Linked DNA regions of Schizosaccharomyces pombe. Changing the gene in region 2 together with the main gene of any one other region gives a genetic interaction. Each region holds a gene or a part of one and is shown on either strand. Other genes may lie near its edges.

Evidence for each region. A genetic interaction does not mean that the proteins touch.
Region 1: mutations in irc6 (region 2) and ppk14 together harm fitness less than expected from each alone (positive genetic interaction), as found in Schizosaccharomyces pombe (one large-scale study listed by BioGRID).
Region 3: mutations in irc6 (region 2) and dad4 together harm fitness more than expected from each alone (negative genetic interaction), as found in Schizosaccharomyces pombe (one large-scale study listed by BioGRID).

The regions. Positions count from the first base shown.
Region 1 is NC_003424.3:768,732-773,166, reverse strand, and holds ppk14 (serine/threonine protein kinase Ppk14), read right to left. Parts: upstream 2,628-4,435; 5' UTR 2,545-2,627; coding exon 844-2,544; 3' UTR 501-843; downstream 1-500. Other genes in the region: tRNA 4-demethylwyosine alpha-amino-alpha-carboxypropyltransferase Trm12, read left to right, coding at 1-494; SPOM_SPAC4G8.04 (GTPase-activating protein), read right to left, coding at 3,077-3,355, 3,419-4,435.
Region 2 is NC_003424.3:2,463,660-2,467,928, forward strand, and holds irc6 (recombination protein Irc6), read left to right. Parts: upstream 1-1,565; 5' UTR 1,566-1,688; coding exon 1,689-1,746; exon of another isoform or gene 1,747-1,786; coding exon 1,787-2,176; exon of another isoform or gene 2,177-2,218; coding exon 2,219-2,410; exon of another isoform or gene 2,411-2,453; coding exon 2,454-2,554; 3' UTR 2,555-2,835; coding exon of another isoform or gene 2,836-3,600; 3' UTR 3,601-3,769; downstream 3,770-4,269. Other genes in the region: mRNA-decapping complex catalytic subunit Dcp2, read right to left, coding at 1-1,292; SUMO-targeted ubiquitin-protein ligase subunit Rfp1, read right to left, coding at 2,836-3,600.
Region 3 is NC_003423.3:4,004,563-4,008,100, forward strand, and holds dad4 (DASH complex subunit Dad4), read right to left. Parts: upstream 1,821-3,538; 5' UTR 1,773-1,820; coding exon 1,668-1,772; intron 1,640-1,667; exon of another isoform or gene 1,609-1,639; coding exon 1,495-1,608; 3' UTR 1,467-1,494; coding exon of another isoform or gene 1,379-1,466; 3' UTR 1,304-1,378; coding exon of another isoform or gene 1,242-1,303; 3' UTR 1,078-1,241; coding exon of another isoform or gene 826-1,077; 3' UTR 721-825; coding exon of another isoform or gene 610-720; 3' UTR 564-609; downstream 1-563. Other genes in the region: ESCRT II complex subunit Vps36, read left to right, coding at 1-153; SNARE protein Vti1, read left to right, coding at 395-420, 458-563, 610-720, 826-1,077, 1,242-1,303, 1,379-1,466; cleavage and polyadenylation specificity factor complex subunit Ctf1, read right to left, coding at 2,295-2,405, 2,443-3,392, 3,435-3,465.

The sequences.
Region 1 (4,435 bases), 1.7 Mb from region 2:
GTATAGGGTACTTTACATTTTCTTACGTTAAAGCGGGAGCTTCAACAGTTTTTTGCTGGGAAATTAATCCATGGAGTGTTGAAGCGTTAAGGAGAGCTGCTTTGAAAAATGGCTGGTCTATTTATGTAGTTCGAAATGGAGAAAACTATGAATTTAAAGTAGGAACTCATCGTATTGTAGTTTTTTTGGAAAGCAACGTTTATGCAGCTGAAAGGTTCTCCAAAATGAATATTTCTGCTCGACATATAAATTTGGGAATGCTCCCCTCTAGTGAAAAATCCTGGTCAACCGCTACTTCAATTTTAAAGCGAGAATCACATTCCTTTATACATGTTCATGAGAACGTAAAAGATGAAGATATCGAAACATACTCTTCTGAAGTGAATTCATGTTTTTCAAAAATGTTGGCTAAAAATACAGTTTGTGTTACAAATTGTGTCAAATCATTTTCACCACGAGTGTCACATATCGTTTACGATATAGAGACGGTTTAGTTAATGGTAATTTTGTTAAGGTGGTTTTTGGTTATTTTACAAAATATGTTATTAGAATGGTATATGTTATATTCTGTCTAGAAGTTTATTTAACTTCCTATTGAAAATAGAGAAAGCATGTCTGAATCTGGTAAAAGTAAGGTAGAAAAAAGAAAGACTTTGTGGTGAAAAGGAGAATCTAGTTAAGCGAAATATTTTGTGCCTCAACAACGTATCAATATATGCAATGAATGAAGTCAGCAAATGCTCTTTTAATAATGGATTGATTAAACAAAAAGATGAGAAAAATATCATAGACGTGCGAAAAATTACCATCAATATGCAAGTTACAGGAAGAAAAGAAAATGACCTAATCCCACTCATGATGCACAGTAACTGAATTAAACGATTCGAAGGGATCATCTCCATGATCTGCACCCGATAAATTAGATAGGGGAACTTCAACTGTTTGTGTGTTTTGGGGAGAATGAGTAATATCCAAACTTTTACTTTCCTTTAGATGGGAAATATTAGGATTGCCTTTTTCATCAATAGGGGCAAGCTTTGGAATAATCGGAGGCTCAGTGTGCCTTAATAGAGCCCATTGGACATTTTTAAAAAAAGGATGAAGCTTCACGTCTGCAGCACCAGCCTGTGACCCAAGGCGATCATTTTCATCTTTCACTAATAATTTTCTAATCAAATTCTTGCAAAGGCTGGAAATTGAAGGAGCATCCGCATATTCAGGGAATATAACATCCTTGTGTAAAATATTCGAAAAAGTCATGTTTCTATTTTTACCTTTGAAAGGAGTCGTGGCATATAGCATTTCATAAAATAAAATACCCAAAGTCCACCAGTCAACAGCGCTTGTATGACCACAACCCTTGATAACTTCTGGAGCAATATACTCTTCTGTGCCGACAAATGAATTTGTGCGAAAATCTGCGATACATGATTTTGTATCCAATGCGTAAGCATTTTGAGCGGATGGTGCATTCCTGGCCTGAATTACCGTTGGTGCACCGGCAGAGTTTGATTGTTTAGATAAATCAAAATCAGAAAGCATAATATGTCCTGACTCATGCAACAAAATATTTTCAGGCTTCAAATCTCTATAAATAAATCCCATCAAGTGGAGGTATTCTAATGCAGCGGTAACTTCTGCAATGTAAAATTTGGCCTCGTTTTCTGATAAACAACGGCCAGGACGTCGTTGCAAAGCTCGAAAAAACTCACCTCCCATACAATACTCCATACATAAATAAAGGTATTCATCAGATTGAAAAGAATGATAAAGTGTAACAATGAATGGGTGGTTACTTGTCGCAAGAATGTGCTGTTCTGCAAAAGCTCGTTTGCTTTTGTTGCGTTTAATCATTTCTTGCTTACTCAAAACTTTCATGGCATAAAATTTGCCAGACTTTTTTTCTCTAACAAGATAAACTCGACCGACATCTCCCTTGCCAAGTAGAAAAACCTTTTCAAAGCTAGATGGACCAACCTCAACATCACATATCTTGATAGAGTTGGAAGAATATGTTCTCGCTCTCGTTGCAACAGTTTTCTTAATATGAGCCAATTCTTTTTCCTTCCCATGAGGACTGAAAATATCTTTTAACTTTTCTCGCTGAACTGAGGTATCAGCACCATTACTACGAGAAACATTTCGCGACTTGGGAACATCTTTCTTCTTCCTCCCACTTTTAAAAAACGATTTTTTTATTACGGAAATTGAATCAGTACCACTCCCGTCACCACCTTCTGCGGAACTACCAGTGCCATCAATTTTGCGATCAGACTCTTCCTCGGTCTGCGACTCAGGTGCACCAGAAGGTGATTGATTTGCAGCATCGCTATCTTCCGACGTCAATTCTTTTTCCTTCTTTCGAGAAAAAGCAAACTTTCTGCTATCCTTAAAATGCAGCCTTATGAAGGCTCGAAACTTGGATGGCTTGGCAGTGCCGGAATGTTTCCAGTGTCCTGTGTCATCTTTCTTAGCTTCTTCTAGGTGATCTTCAACATTGATCCTTCCTTCCTCAGAGCTCTCACCATCATGAAGTTCATTCATTTGCTTTTGAAAGTGCTACGAGTCGGTCGCAATACAATTCAATTCCACTGATATTTTTGTGTATGGCGGAAAGTACACCGGATGACATTACTGAGACACTGACACTTATGATATACTAGAAATATAACCGACTGCGTTATCGATCGTTGTACCTCACAAACCGTAAGAGCAATGTTTATATAGCATACAGGAAAATATATGAAGAGCAAGAATCTGTCTATGTTTATTAAACCAAACAAATCAAAAACTATAAGTGAAAGTTATGCATGGATTGCCTAGCTTCATACAAGAGTTTTCAAAAAAGATTTTACATTCTATACTTCCAAATTATAATGAAATGGACTCCTGAAACAGCATTAAAATAACCCAGTCATAGTATACAGTGATGGAAAACATTAAAAAATTATATTCATGAGTAACCCAACATAAAAATGAATAAGATGCCCATGAGGCAACAAAAAGCTTTTTTATTTATTAAAGATCATAACTTACCAACGATCACGAATCAAACCAGTAAAACAAAACAAAGAACTCAATAATTGACCGCTAAGTTTAACGAAGAAATAGCCAAGTTACGTTTCCGTTCAATACTCTTTTCCGTAACAAGTTTGGACCACCGATCAGCAGCCTCTTTAATAAACGAATCGGGTTGAAAAGAGTATTGAACCAAATCACTCAAAAATGAGTAGATGGCAGAAGAGGAATTGCATGCTAAAATTTGTTGCTTTAAAGATTTTAGAATCGTAAGTGCAACTCTAAATAAGCATACATAACCATCACAAAACAACATGTCAAATATTCTAAAAGATATCTAAAAAAAAGTAGTTAGTAAACAATTCATACTTTAATAATCTTTCAAAACCACTTATCGTACATTCGTAGGGAGTGTATCAGTATATACACTTAAAAACCAATGAAATGAAATGGCGTCCAAATCAACCCCAAGTAATTCTAAATGGGAATAGATTTCCGGTAATGACTCTTTCACAAAGCTTTTCAAAACCAGCTGATCAGCTCGCGAAGTCATCAGGTCAGGAGTAAAGTATTTCGGAGGTAAAACGTTTTCAATTATGCTCATTAGCATATAAAACGCGTCTTCTTCTGAAGCATATAATAAAAGAAGAAAGGCACCAATAACATTCATTCCTTGACAATAGCCTATGTGTGGATTGTGGCGGCTATAAGCAACTAAAATTCGTCGTAATTTCGGGATTCCAGGTCCTTTTCCTCCAAAAAATACATTTTTAGCCATAGTCCTGTTAATATCCATATCGATTTGCGCAACACTCGCTGATTCAACCTCATCAGTACGTGATAATAGTTCTTCATAATAGCCAGGTGAATGTAATTGATAAGCGCCTGAGCACTCTAACCAAACTTTAGCTTTATAGCACAAAGGAACACCATTTTTCACAAGTTCACGAAATTTATGCCATCTTTTTTTACCATGACGCCCTTTAACACCTATGCTAGATATTCCTAGTAAACCAATTGTATCCTCATCGGTAATTTTATATTTTTTGTACAAGCGTTGAAAAAACAAGCTCCAGTTTTTTTGTCGGGTACTTTCTTTCATATCCAATAAAATATCTTTTTTATTTAGCAACAATGGAGAATCGTTGAGCCCATCTAACTCGTTGCCAAAAAAATCATCAACCAAGCCATAATTGCTTTCATAGAACGACAGAGTCTGTTTCTGATTTAATTTTATGTCCTCCGGACATAAAGGGGTGTCGTGACTTGGTCGTTTTTGTAAAAAACCAAATTGATCGAGAATTTCCTTGGAATTATTATCTAAATAATCTTTCCAATCATTTCGCATTGAGGGCGGCTGGGTTTCCTTAGGAATCATATTTCCCAACTCCACAGAACCAATTGAAGGCATCGAAGG
Region 2 (4,269 bases):
AAACCATAGGAACTAACGGAAGTCGAAGTGGGAGGATAAAAAACTTGATGATAAACAGTACTTGGCGAGGGCAATTCCATTGGAGAAGGCATGTCGCTAGCGGCAAATAAATGCTGAACAGAATTTTGGTCTTTAAGTAAATTTGAATACATACTCTGCTGAAAGTGATTATTCAACACAGGTTTATTAGTTAACATGTTGTTTTGAGAAACAACTCTTGGAAAAGAAGCAGATGGATTTTTTGGATCCAATCCAAGGTAAGCAAAAGGATCGAAACTGTTATTATCATGCGATAAACGAGAATTGCTGCTTTGAATGGGGGGATTAAGAGGAAGGTTCGACACAGGAGGAAGTTGAATTGGAGATTTAGGTTCATTTCCTTCATTTAATAAATGCAAGATTTTCTGTTTAATGTCAAAAGAAGAATGTGATTCAACTGGTGGCTGAGGAAAAGTTGAAGGTTGCGGAGTAGCAAGGTCTGAAGGTGCTGTCGAAGATTTCAAAAGAGAAAGCAGTTGGGAAGAAGCATCAGCATCAACATCAACGGAAATGTTCTTTTCTTTGGTAGTGTTATTGGCAATATTCCTCTTCTTAATCCATTTCTTCAATGGCGCCAAAAATGGGATTACCATGTAAAATTTGTTTTTCATGGTCTGAGGTTTATTTTTTTTGAATGTAGGAAGATCCATAAGATTATGCCATTCAATTTTACTAATTTCTTTTCTTGTACGAGATTCAAATCTTGTATCCAAAGATATTCCAGGAATAATATACAATCGAACGTTTTGTCCACGTATAGTCATATCAATAAATTCATTAGGATTTATACGGCTAGAACAGTCAAAGCCTGTTTCTTCATATACTTCACGAATAGCACAATCAACATCAGATTCATCTTTATCAATTTTTCCCTTAGGAAATCCCCAGCCGGATGATGCTTTCCATCCTTTGACAAGTACGCATTGCTGCATTGACATATCAAGCATTATAGCTCCGCGGACAGGAATACGAGTCTTATATCGTAAAAAATCATCAAACGCCTCTTCATGGACCTTACTCCACTTCCACAATAAAGGACAGTGAGCAAAAAGCTTTGCACTAAAAACACGCAAACCTAGTGATGGCAACTGATCGTTTTGCGCACGTATAAAATCTTCATAAAACCAATGAGCTTGTTCGATTTGAAAACAAAGTCGTTCAACGCTACTTTGCTCCTCTGCTGGTAAATTCAAGATAAATCTAGCTGATAAATCATCCAGCACTTGCGAAAACGTGGCATTTGTGAACGACATATTTCTTTTAATATATAGTAGTCTATTGTTTGCATTTAAAATTCTAAGTCACTCCAAAGCACGACAAATTCGTCAACTTTAATTTTTGTGCGTCTTGGTATTTAAAGCCATTTATGCGTGTGCGTATAACACAGAGTTAGGGACACGTAAAATTACGTACCAACCTTCGTTAGTGATAAACTAAACCATTATTGATTTAGGAATGTATCACACTGCGCTATACTATTGCTCAATCCTTGTTTCATTAAACTGTTAGACTGTAGTTAAAATCACAATTTGCCTTACCTTTAGGTCTTTCGAGAATTTATTTATCCACCAAAAACTTGTTTAATATTCTACAGAACTGATTGAAAATATAAAAAAGCGAATTAATTTTTGCTAAGTACATAAAATCATATGCGAGTTATTTTGGTTATAGGTCGCTCTAATTCTGGAAAGCTAGATTTTATTAAGGGTAAATATTAGTGTTCTATTTGCAATTACTAATTGAAAAGCTTTGACGGGTTCTTTACCGAAGGGGTTAGATGACGAGGCATTTAACAATGATCATTCTGGCTTGATTCATAAGTATAATATCAGAAATAAATATTTTGAAGCTTCGGTTGGTATTTGGATTGAAGAATATTCTAATTTAGCTGAAACTTTGGATGCTTATAGTTCTGAAGAAGCGAAGGAAGTTATTGATAGCTTAGGTGCCATTGTATATACTTTTCGAAGTTTTGATGAAGCTGAGTGGTCTCTTTTTAAAAATTTTATAGATAAACTACAGCTAGAGATTCCGGTAATTGGGTTGCACATGTCAGATGAAAAATTACTAGAACCACCTGATGTGTTTACCCCAGAATATATTTCTATCAGCGAGGAAGGAGTGAATGAATTCAATGGTAAAGTCAACCAATCTTCTATTTATTAACAAGTCTCTTTAGAGAAAGTAGGACTGGACCGTGTTCGAGAAATTCTCGATTGCTGCGAATGGAACTTGTCACAAGTTGATAAAAGTTTCTCGGAAGAAAAGGATGATGCCGGAGATTTCTATCTCCCGGAACGATTCAAAGGAAGTCCAGACATGCAATCGACGGATCTGGATAATTTGATGAAAGAAATGAACCAAATTAGAGGTTGGTAACTCCTTGAGTCGACTAAACTAACAACGAAATTTAGATGCTGACCTGGAAAAAAATGAGAAAAAGGCCAAGGCTTTAAATCTTTTAGAAAAATTGTTAGGCGATGAATTCGAGGAAAATGATTATGAATCGCTGTAGAAACAAGGCCTTTGTTCGTATCCGGAGAATACATGTTGTCGCTGGAGCACAAATTGATGTATAATAACTATTTGAGTTTGCAAGAAAGGTTCAATTAAGTTTTATCAAAGTATTTTTTACTAAAATCTAAATCTGCTGTATTGAAAGAGGACCTATTAGCAACTTAAAAAAAATTCGTAAGTAAAGCTCAGTCACAAATTGTGATAATTTTGGTCGTATTTCATTATTATAGACATTATAAATCCAACACAATGGACTACATTTTCAATGTACAAGGTTCGTCAATAAAATAATTCCCACATGGCATTTTTCGTATTTAAATAACGGCCACAGTCATTCACTAGACATTTTGACTGAGATCGTTTACTGGTTTTCAAAACTTTTGCACAAGAGCCACAATAGACGTGACCACACTTTGTTGCCCATAATGCAGATTTCTCTTTGCTTTTGGATGTTCCTAATGGTTCCTGACATCTTGGACAAACCATCAATGTATCATTGTTAAAGCTTCTAGTAAATCCAGATTTTGGAGGGCCTGGAGGCTTGTAAGACTGTTTTATATTTTCTAAAGAAGAAGTAAAATCATCATATGATTCTTCAAAATGGTTAGAGAAATATTCGTCGTCTGAACCGTTAGTCCATTCTGGATGTATAGCGTCAAATCTCATTCGGTTCACAATCAACTGGAAAAGAGAAGGGGATAAGGAATTAACAGAACTAAACTCAGGAAATGTCCTGGCAATCATTCCCATCAAATCTCGACGTGAAGAAGAACGACGAGTGGACACCTGAGGACCTAAGTAAATCATGTCTTCCAAATACGATAAATGATTTGAAGGAAAGTTACGAGACCGTTCATTCCTTCTCCGGTTCATACGCCTTCTTCGAGGACTTAGAACAGGAGATGATGGAAAGCTGTCATCAGGAATAGCATCCAAATCAATGATATTTGTTGAAGAAATAGAAGTTTCGACTGGTGGAGAAGGTGATCTCGTCAAATCAATTACACTGCTTTCATCTATTCCATTGCTTCCATTAAATTGCATTGATGTGTGAAAAAAGATACACAATTGTTTCCTGTCAAGTAATTGACAACGGGCAAAAAATTAAGTCGATTTATTTGTATATATTTTGGCCTTGCATATATTAACGAAACGGTATTATTTAATATAAAGCTCTAATGTATTGCTGTATATCAAAATACCGCAGACCAACAGTTCGGTGCATTTTTAAGGCAATGTCCAGTATGCTTTATTATTTATAAACTAATGGCTAGTAAAGAAACGTAAATTAGAAGTCGCATTTCTTTGTTTACACATTATCTTTATAAAAAGGAAATGACCTTATGTGATAATTTACTGAGAAGATCAAACGCCAAAGAAGATATGGCGAATAGAGGAATTTTACGAGCTTAATTTAGCAAGAAGAACCAAAAAAATATGCCTCTAGTAGACGATATGGATTTTTTATTAAAGCACAGAAAATGAATTTAAAATACTAGACGATATTTGATAGTACAATTGTTGAAGAATTAGGATTGTATTTATTAAATCCGCTAGATTCTGAAGTTAAACTTTCACAAATGAGTAATTGGAACATCAGCGCTTGAATATCAAGTTCCTGTCTTGAATTTTTTTGAGTATAAATATGATAAATCAAATAATGGATAACACTGCTTTTAGACCAGCATCAAAAGCGAGCGACATTAACAAAGA
Region 3 (3,538 bases), on a different chromosome or scaffold from region 2:
ATTGGTGTAACGTTAGAAAGACTTTATCAAGCTGAGATGGACGGTTACATTGTACGTGATGTTTATGAAGAATCTGGTTCTAGCTTACTATACTGGAAAAACGAATTTGACGAATTATCAGAAGAATTGACTAAATGGTTTGATGAATCATAGGAATAATAACTGTACACTATCTAATTAATATTCATTCCTTTTAACATTGTATTTTTCTTTCGCTTTAGTAGATTCCTCTCTACACACGCCTTAATTAATATGACTACCTGTTATGGGTATTCGATTCCCAACGTAACCATTTAATCTTAACCTACACCTATTTTATTTTTAATTCATTTGAGAAACTGTTTACACGATAGTTTCAAGAAATCTAATATATCAATATTAATAATTGTTAAATATGGAGACGTACGAGCAAGAATATCGGTATGTCTAATACCATTACAAGTTTACTAATAATTAGCTTGCTTCGAGCAGATATCGAAGAAAAACTTAATGATTTAAGTAAAAGTGGTGAGAACTCTGTTATTCAATCATGTCAGAGACTTTTAAATGAAATTGATGAAGTAGTATGTTGGAATAATTTGTGTTTTTAAAAAAGTGGCTAACTTGCAGATTGGTCAAATGGAAATTGAAATTACCGGTATCCCTACTTCTGAAAGAGGTCTCGTAAATGGAAGAATTCGTAGTTATCGTTCAACTTTGGAGGAGTGGCGTAGACACCTGGTAAGTTAGCTATATCGAACATTCTTCTTTTGAAGCTTTACAGAAATTACTATGAGACAATCTACTTTTATTTACCAAATTCATACTAACAATTTTCTCGTTTAGAAGGAAGAAATTGGCAAATCAGATAGGAAAGCCCTTTTTGGAAATAGGGATGAAACATCCGGTGATTATATTGCAAGTGATCAAGATTATGACCAAAGAACTCGTTTGTTACAAGGAACAAATAGACTTGAGCAATCTTCACAGCGTCTTCTTGAATCACAACGGATTGCGAATGAGACTGAAGGCATTGGTGCTAGCATTCTTCGTGATCTTCATGGTCAAAGAAATCAATTGGAGCATTCTTTAGAGATGGTAAGTAATTATTGCAAAATAGATAAATGAATCACTATGATTGATAAGATAAAATGCGCGATTTATACGCATATCTTAGCCAAGCTTATTAGCTCCATGGTTTAAAAATATAGTTTTCTTTTATGCTATGTATAAATTTCTTTGAGATTTGTTAACCAAATTAGCTTGGAGATACGTCTGGACACCTTGATCGAAGTTTAAGAACTCTGAAGACAATGGCAAGAAGGTAGGACACAGATAGACATTATTATAGTGATATGAATCGTCATGTAATGATCTTTTATACTAACTCATTTTAAAGACTTGCCATGAACAGATTTTTCACGACAGCAATAATTGCAATCCTTGTTATATTAATTTTGCTTGTGCTTTATAGCAAATTTCGTTAGCACAAATATTAAAGAACATCATATAACTTTAGATGGGATCTTTAAGCGTATGGGTCTCTTCCAAGTGGAATTTTACGTTTCTTGCATAATTCGCCCACATTTGACTAGCTAGCTCAACATTCATATTAGACATATTAATTAGCTTTAAGAATGTCAGCGGAAAGTTGATATGTACACAAATATTTGACGTCGTAATCTTACCTGTAATGAATGATTGAGTCTTGTAATACTTTCATTCAGCTTTTCTACATTACTTATGATCCTTCCTAATAATGCGCTTTGCTGTTCTTCCATAGGATTATTCATTTTCGATGGTTTTCAATTTCCTAAACTGTAATTATGTAGTCTGTACTTGGAAGCTTGCATGAGCCAGTGCTGACACTTCGTAGTTGGAAAAATTGAACTACAATTTTAAACCTGTGATCTAAATTTTTTTTAAGAAATTGAACTTTTTGGGAATTTATGAGTTGCATATTTATTTGAGAAGTATCAGTTGATGTTACCACCTACATTTTTATAATATATTTACGATCAAAAGGGCAGTTTAAAATATAAAAAATAATAAATTTTAATATGAAATATTGATTGAGTAAATTTTTATAAAAGGATATTGAATAAAGGATCCAAGAAATAGCCCTCCATAACGCGTATAGAAACAAATATTTATGAGAAGCAAAACATCCGAATAGTATAAAGAAGTGTGTAGTATGAAAAGGTATCAGTGCTAGGATATGGTTTATAGTGTTGTAAATAAATTATCTTGCACACCAAATTTAAGTACTTGGTCAAATGCTAATATTTAATCTCTTGATATTACTAAAATTAGACTTACTGTCGAAAATGCTGCCGACGAATGCTAAGAATTTGATCCCTTTGTGCAGGAGGTAATGCGTTAATTTGCTCTGGGGTAAGAGCCAACAATTGTTGTATGAGGGCCATCTGTTTTGTTAGTGCAAAAAAAAAAAAAAAAACGTACCCGCTTCCCTTCATTGCCCTGATCTGAACCATTCGCTTGTTGACTTTTATGGTTACTAGAAGGTATTTTTTGGGGAACAGAAGGAGGAGAGGAAGTTGCTGAAGCTGGTTGATGCATGTTTTTATTCTTCACTGCGACTACTACTTGTTGTAAGACATTTGCGTCAACTAAGTTCATCAGCAACATAGCTTGAAAGGCGGCGTATGGTAAAGCAGGATTAGCAATTAGAAGTCGTCGTGCCTCTTCTGGTGCTATATGAACTACAGTCTGAAGTTTGGACAACATATTGAGAAGTTCCTGAGCTGAGAAGGTAGATAGTACCTGAACGACAGACGGGGCCAATGGGATAGAAGTCGGATTCGATATAGAAGTCCCGGAAGTGTAATCCCCTTTGTTTTGTGAAGATTTATTATACTGAAAGGTTCTTGCATTGTATGCATCTGTATGGGGTTGACTGGCAGAATCAAAGTCGGAGGTCATACTGTTGTGAAAATTATAAGCAGGAACAGAAGTAGAATTTATATTTTTATTAAGATTAGTAGCCATTGACGACGAATAAATAGCAGGACTTGGCATCCCACCTCCTTGTGAAGCAGGCAGGGAAGATGTTGAATGCAAAACAGGAGGAATAAAACGGGAATTATAAGAACTTTCATGAGCATTTTGCTGTTCCATGTATCTATCAGTACGCTCCGTATATTCATAACTTTGATTCCTTCTGGGATCATTTGATGGAAACTCGACACGAATCTTACGAGGTCCTAATTCGGAATTATTTAACTTTCGTACAGCCATAGCGGTAGTCTCACTATCAAAAAACTCACAAAACCCATAACCCTTCCCACTACCTGTTTCCGGATCAAGTACAAGTTTGAAAGTCTTTACTGGTCCAACTTGATTAAAGATTTCAGTCATTTGCTGTTCCGAAACATCATATGGAATGTTACCAACTAAATTAGATTAGCAAAACCGAATATTTAAAGAATTATTACCAAATACGACATTCCCGGCTGTCATCGACATGCTGGTAGTCGCGTCTTTCGGTTTTGCCCATTCAACCAACGTACTGCTACTACTACTACTACTACTTAAATCA